Daphnia pulex: one gene and its partner. The protein of the gene in region 2 purifies or fractionates together with the protein of the main gene of each other region. This does not show direct contact. Links are inferred from orthologs where the notes say so. Each region holds a gene or a part of one and is shown on either strand. Other genes may lie near its edges.

Evidence for each region.
Region 1: the proteins of ER membrane protein complex subunit 1-like (region 2) and transmembrane emp24 domain-containing protein 2-like purify together in Homo sapiens (affinity purification with mass spectrometry; 3 studies listed by BioGRID and IntAct, with this or other methods). This does not show direct contact. The link is inferred for Daphnia pulex from reciprocal best matches to the Homo sapiens genes EMC1 and TMED2.

The regions. Positions count from the first base shown.
Region 1 is NC_060024.1:13,238,504-13,241,502, reverse strand, and holds transmembrane emp24 domain-containing protein 2-like, read right to left. Parts: upstream 1,504-2,999; 5' UTR 1,412-1,503; coding exon 1,326-1,411; intron 1,230-1,325; coding exon 1,195-1,229; intron 1,131-1,194; coding exon 888-1,130; intron 821-887; coding exon 585-820; 3' UTR 501-584; downstream 1-500. Other genes in the region: fructose-bisphosphate aldolase-like, read left to right, coding at 43-138. UniProt on the Homo sapiens protein: Involved in vesicular protein trafficking. Mainly functions in the early secretory pathway but also in post-Golgi membranes.
Region 2 is NC_060018.1:527,823-532,023, forward strand, and holds the start of ER membrane protein complex subunit 1-like, read left to right. Parts: upstream 1-1,401; 5' UTR 1,402-1,526; coding exon 1,527-1,618; intron 1,619-1,694; coding exon 1,695-1,804; intron 1,805-1,864; coding exon 1,865-2,725; intron 2,726-2,786; coding exon 2,787-3,664; intron 3,665-3,734; coding exon 3,735-4,164; intron 4,165-4,201. Other genes in the region: alpha-(1,3)-fucosyltransferase C-like, read left to right, coding at 1-1,135. UniProt on the Homo sapiens protein: Part of the endoplasmic reticulum membrane protein complex (EMC) that enables the energy-independent insertion into endoplasmic reticulum membranes of newly synthesized membrane proteins.

The sequences.
Region 1 (2,999 bases), on a different chromosome or scaffold from region 2:
GAAATATGGAATGTTAAAACCCTTTGATACGAATATATTCAGGCCAACGGTGAAGCCGCTCAGGGCAAATACGTCGCTGGAACTTGCGTGGGAGCTGCTGCCGCTTACGACTTGTTCATCAAGAACCACGCATACTAGATTTATTAAATATCTGTGAAGGAGTCATCATCGTAACTTAAAATTAAAAAAAAAAAAAAAGAAAAGCCAGAAAAAGCCGAAAACATTATTGTGAATGCATTTTTTCGAAATTTTCACTTCTTTATCAGTGTTTAGATAAAAATGAACGAAGATTACCGATGGGGCTTGAGATTGTAGTCATTTCTTAATAGCTCATTCACTATAATAATCATCTTCGGTCCATTTGAGTGTTTGGAAAGCTGGTAGATGATGTAGTAAGTTCACTTACTCTTGCTGTATACCAATGTTGATTGTTGACATGCATATACAATACACGATATCAATACCAGCAACAATATGCGTTGAATTTAAATCAATGATAATGATGGTTGAAATTCATGTTTATTTAAACCTTATTCACTTACACAAGAGTCACAAATTTATTTTGGATGGACATTCTCAATTGATCAAACCACTCGTCTGACTTCGAAAAACCTCTTGAGATAATACACCTGACCGGCAGTCATGGTCAAAAGGACAAAGGCCTCGAAAAATGACCACATCACAACTCGCGAATTTGTGCTTTCGTTGATGGTCCTGTGAACGCGTTCACGCAGATTCATGTAATCCTGCTCGTGTTTCACTGTTCGCAGGGCGCCTGAGAGTTCTTTGATCATTTCTTCCAGCTTGGTATGATTTCCATCTGCATTGGGAAAATAATGATTAGTACAGAATGTGCAAGGATAATTGTAAGAAATGAATCCTCATACTGGCTGCATCTGGGTGAAGTTCAGCAGTAGGCTCTCCAACGTCAATGGTAAACATGACAATCTTGGGAGTCATTGTAGACATTTTGTTGGAAAAGCAGTAAGTGTACACTCCGTCCATGTCTGCTTTGAAGGCATACTTTCCATTGCTCACACGTTCACCAGACTCAATCGTCTGACCATTGGGACCAACAATATTGAAGTCAATGTCCAAAAATCCACCTTCTGCTACTTCAAATGTAAGACCTGTGTTCCAGAAAATTGTAATTAGAATTGCTGCTCAATTGAAAACTTTTAAAAACTCTTGTACCTAATTTTGTTCCTGCTGAAACCTTTTCAAAGAAGCTGAATCAAATACAACATACACAAAAATTAGTGTCAGAACATATTGAAAAAATAGATCACAAAATGTACAGCTCAAATCACAATTTTGATATTTACCATTCTTCAGCATGAGCGTCTATCGTCATGTAATAGGCATTTGTGAATCCGACCAACAATAAAACGAAAAAACTAACGTGATTCATGGTAGCTAAATATGAGTTAAATAGATTGAAAGAGGCAAGTTTTACACAGGTTTTACAAGTATACAAATCCGGCACGAAAGCTGACGTGTAACACGATAGATATATCGAATTTTTGTATATCGATATCGGTAACATTTGCGGGAATTTCAACTTGACAACTCTGCTTTGCTTATTAGCATAAAACTTATCGTCATTTGTTTTCGTTCAGTTTTTTTTCGAAACAAAGAACGAGGAGGAGGAATTTGATCTGTTGTAATTTCGTTGTTCTATTGTGTGAACGTGTGCTCACTGTGCTGAAGTATATTTGTCCAAATGACGTTGATAATTCGACGTAAATTCTTGATGTCAAGTATGTTGTAGCAAAGTATTAATGTAAAATGTCGAAGAAAATAATCTGAAAGAGGACACAATTTACAGAAAATTGTACCTCGTTTACAGCAACCACGTGGTCGCCTATAGTGGCTATATAATATCTTTAACATTTGATGTTAATGGCAAGCAGAAGCTGAGGTAACAAAATAGTTTTCAATTCTAGGGTTGAGTTTTAAACCTTTTTTCTCTCAGTTGTAAATTAATTTTAGACTGTATAATCAGTTTTAAACTTGTTCAGCAGCTTTTGAATTGCATGGAGCGAGAATTAGCATCCTCCAATGTCACCATTGGTTTGTGAATGCAAATGTCTACCGTGCTATGTTGTTTTCAATACTAGTTATGACATAAAAAATGCCTGGTATAGTTTATAGTTCATCTTATATAACTCTAAATATGCAAAGTTGAACACATCAATGTGTAATTTTTTCTCTACCAACAACCTTTCGAACAAGTTATAGTAATTTTTTTGCTATTCTTCCAAGGATCACATCTTTATAATTTTAATTCATTATTTGGAAAATGAGGGGGAAATATACACTTTTATTGAAAACTTTGTTTATACATTGTATTGTTGTATTATTCGTTATTTTGTGTAACCTTAACCTAATGCCAATTTATTTATTTGTTCTAGACTTCTAGTTACCTAGGGAGTAGGGAGTCTACGTTTCGCTGCTGAGGATCGGTCTTTTTTTCCAAGCATCCACAATGCTTGGTGGCGAGAAGAGTGCAGGGCGTTATTCTTCGGTGGATCCTGTCATATTTGGTAAAACAACTTGAATAAAATTAACATTGCATAACTTTGCTTTATTCATATTTTTTTTCTAATAGAATTCCAGTACCTCCCATTCGGTAGCTTTTTCGTCTAAGGCTGTCGAACCTTTCCACATCCATATAATAATTTGTCATCCTCATATTCTGGTGAGTGACTTTTATTTATACCACCAGCTGCGTAAGCCGTCAGACACTTCAACCCTCGTCTTCGCTTGTAGTATTCTGACGCCATTGGGCTTAACTTGAAAACTTGAGTTATTGTTAATTGTGCTAGCAAGAGTGTTGTGTGCGAAGCAACGCCCCCAACCAAATGCTGAAAAAAAATTTCACGGTTTATTTGAAATGTTCAAACTCTCGACACTTGTTACTGAAAGGCGCCGTGCGAATCGGAAAAGCATTGTCAGAGAGCCTGAGCGTTATCTGCGTACGTAGGTGGCAAAACGAT
Region 2 (4,201 bases):
TCAGGAGCCTGTGAAAAAGATTCTATTCTGGTATGAACACTACACATTGCGTAAAGGACAAAATCGCATCAGAGTCGGAGTTGGACAAGGACCAGCTGGTATTTCATCCGACAGTCAAGCCCTTCGCCTTTCACACTGTCCATACCAATGCGACATATTCAACCGCGAGCGTATTGTCGATTGGGATACGTTAAAATATTACGATGCTATCGTCTTTCATCAACACGGTTGGACGCCAAACGATGTGCCCATGAAAAGGTGGCCACATCAGCACTACATCTTCTTAAGTATGGAGTCATCTGCATGGAGATTTGTGGACACTAAATCAATGGCAAACTTTTTCAATCGCACAATGACGTACCGCAGAGATTCGGATATTTTCAATCCGTATGGCTGGTTCAAGTCCGCTAATCAAGCCGTTATTTTTGACTCGTCACAATTCGATCTAAAGACATTACCACGACTATTGCAGGAAACCCATCTCGATTCAGCAGTCAATTACGCAACTGGAAAAACCAGAAAGGTGGCTTGGTTCGTCTCCAACTGCAAATCTTTGAGCGCTCGAAACGAATACGTCGATCGACTGAAAACTTTCATTGATGTCGACATCTATGGGCAGTGCGGTAATATGAGTTGTTCTCGTTCAAATCCCGAATTGTGTCGTCAAATGCTGGAGCGTGATTACAAATTCTACCTCTCACTGGAAAACACACTGTGCGAAGATTATGTCACGGAAAAGTTTTTCGATCAGATGCGCTACCACATAATTCCGATCGTCTTTGATCTACACGGCCACCACGCACGAATGGCTCCCCCACACTCTTACATTAATGCAGCCGATTATCAGTCCGTCCGGGAGCTGGCCGATTATCTGACTTTGCTAGATGGAAACGACATCCTGTATAACGAATATTTCTGGTGGAAAAAGCACTATGCCAGTGTAGGCTCCGACGATACCAGGGAGGGAATGTGTCGGTTGTGTGATTTACTTCACGATTCCACAGTTTCCTCGAAGACTTATCGAAATATGACTGATTGGTGGGACGTACAGTCGAAATGCCAAAGCCTTACCTTCATGGACAAAAACACTTCTATAAATGACTCGAATTTCTATTGGAAATCTTTTCTTATCTGACAATGCAAAAATTTTACCTGCTGGATTCGGCTGTAGACTACTCCAAATTTATTGTGTATGTGATTTAAAAAGCTGTAAAAAACAAACAAAGTAATACACAAGCTCATTATAGTTTTCTAAGATTTAAAGTATCTACCATTTGTAAGTGATTTTCTTTAGGGGAAATGAATGATGCACACAAGAACAAGAAGTGAAGAACTCAAGAAAACAGCTAGACAGACGACGACTCGATTGAACCGAGCGGCCGAACTGAAAACTACTGTTTAGCCTAACCTTCAATTACTGTATAGCCGGTCCTGTCAATTTTCCATTCGCTTCCGTATTTCCGTCTGTTCTTTGACATTCACGAAAACGAATTTGTTAACTTAAAATAAATTTGCAGGTTTTCGAAATGAAAACCTATTTTTCGTCATTATTTATAGTATTTATTCTTATACAAACAATCAACGGTCTGTATGAAGACCAGATTGGGAAATTTGATTGGTACGTGAGAGGCTTCTTATCGAAATTTTTTTAATTAGACGAAATCTAACGTTTTTTTTCATGATTTTTTGTGTAGGCGCCAGCAGTATATAGGAAAAGTCAGCCATGCAATTTTTGATTCAACAGGAAAGAAAATAGTTGTAGGAACAGAAGAAAATGTGCTTGCTCTCCTTCATGCTGGGACAGGTATTTCTTCCATATTTCATAATTTGATGAGAATGCATGACCTGAAAAATTATTTTTTAGGAAAGATTGAATGGCGCCATCTACTTGGAAATGGACCGAAGAGCAAAATCTCTTCTCTTTTTGTATTAAATAACGGAAAAGTAGCATCCATCAGCAGTTCTCCAACTACTGTGAGAGTGTTTGATATGTCCTCGGGAATTCTTCAGTGGGAAGCAACTGTCGCCAAGGAGAGCCAACCTATTGTCAGCAAATGGGCTGCTTCAACACGTGATATAGTATCGGTTGAAATCAACCCTTCCAAGTCTGGCTATGAGCTACTCTTAACTGAGTATAGCTCCAACAGTGGAACAGAGAATGTTTCACCAACCATTGAGTTGCCGTGGTTCACTCCCGGAACTGATTGCCAGCTGGTGTTTCCTCACTTGGTGTGCCTACATCCTCACGACGACGCCGTCAACGTCGTAGATGTGAGGAACTCCGATTCTCATCAACGGATTCAGTTTTCGGACCTTGGCGTTGCTGTAGGTGCTGGCCAATCGGCCGTTTTCAGCAGCGTCAGCAGGAATCTCGTGTCGTTGAGGACGACAGACACACTTTCCGTGTACAAAGTAACTGACGAGGGACTCCAAAGAATCGGCGCTGAATGGCCCAGTGAAACAGTACTGGTGAGCGTCCCATCAGTTAAAGACGCTGAAGCTCAACAGAGATACATGTCCGGCTTGGTGAAACAAGAAAAAGATTATTTAATCAGAATTTACGATTTGGAAGCCGACAGTATGCTTGAAGATGTCAGTGGGACGGTAAAGCTACCGGAAGAGGTGGGCGAAGCTAATCTGCTTTCCACTTTTCTAATGAGAAAAGCCAACGGAGATCTCAGTTATCGCTACGCCATTGGTACCACCGATGATTCCTTTCATTACGGTATGAACCATATTACTTGTAAAAACACAGCACCTTTTACATGAATTTTCTCACACTACAGGTAGCAAGAAAGAAGTTTATTGGAGTCGCGAAGAATCTTTGACTTCCATCATTCAAGTGGAAATAGTCGATCTTCCTGTTTCTTCCATTGAAGCGTCCATCGAAGAAGAATTCGGTTCAGATCAGGTATTGGGCGGCATCTTTGGACACACCATCAGACGGCTGAGTTCCCAGTTTAGGCAACTCTTGATAATTGCCCAACAGCTCATGGCCGGACAGATCAATTTTGTTCGTCGTGATGCTGTCGGAAGTAACAACAGAGCGCTTGAACGTGATCGCTTTGGCTTGCATAAATTGATCCTCATCGTCACTCGACCGGGTAAATTGTTCGCCATGGACACATTGTCTGGCCGGATCGTTTGGCAGCGATTGCTGAAGAATGTCAACACTGAAAAACTTCGCCTGTACGTCCAGCGCACCAGCATTCACTACCCACTGGAGCCTCAGTGTACCATTTTGGCCAAGAGTTCCACTTCCAAACAAGGCATTTTGTTCGTCTTTCATCCAATAACTGGTGAACCAGGAAACTTTGGTAGCGAAGGCTACGTCAACCTGGGCTTCAATGTGCAGCAGGCTTTACTTTTACCTCAGAATGAAGAAACCGAGTACATTAAACCGTTGCTGCTTCTCGATGAATCTGCTGTTCCACACGTGTTTCCACCGACCGAATCAGCGCTAAGCCACGTAGTAAAAATGTCCGACAACTTGTTCGTGTTTGTAGCCGACACAAAGAGCTGCGTGCTACGTGGTTACTCGCTTGCCAAAAGCACGGCTGACCATCTCTCTTCTGCCCCTGTTTGGCAGTTACAACTTTGCTCATCGAATGACGTGGTGGAGGAAGAAATCGTTTCCATCGTCTCTCGTCACCCAGAAGAGAAGGTATAATAAAACGATAGTTAACGATTTGTTCTTGGTATTTCTGATTTAACATTTTAATGCATTTATCCAGGTCTTTTCTCAAGGCCGCGTATTGGCCGATCGAAGCGTTCTCTACAAATACCTTAACCCTAACATGGTGGTGGTGGCGACTGCCGGAACGAATCACCCGCACCATCGTGGCTATTTCAATCTTTATTTGATTGACGTCGTCTCTGGAGCTGTGGTATTTTCCACTTCTCATCGCCGCGTTCAGTCGCCTTACCATGTAGTCTACGCCGAGAATTGGATCGTCTACTCTTATTACAACGAAAAATACCGCAGGACCGAGTTGAGTTCGCTCGAGCTGTTCGAAGGACAAACGCAAAGCAACAGCACAGCGTTTTCTTCTTTTTCGGCGCCTCAACCTCTGGTGGACAGACAGGCGTACATCTACCCGGCCCACATCACGGCAATGAAAGATACTTTCTCCGAACAGGGAATGACGGCCAAACATATTTTGCGTGAGTGTCATCATAAATTCGACTTTTTTTTATATGG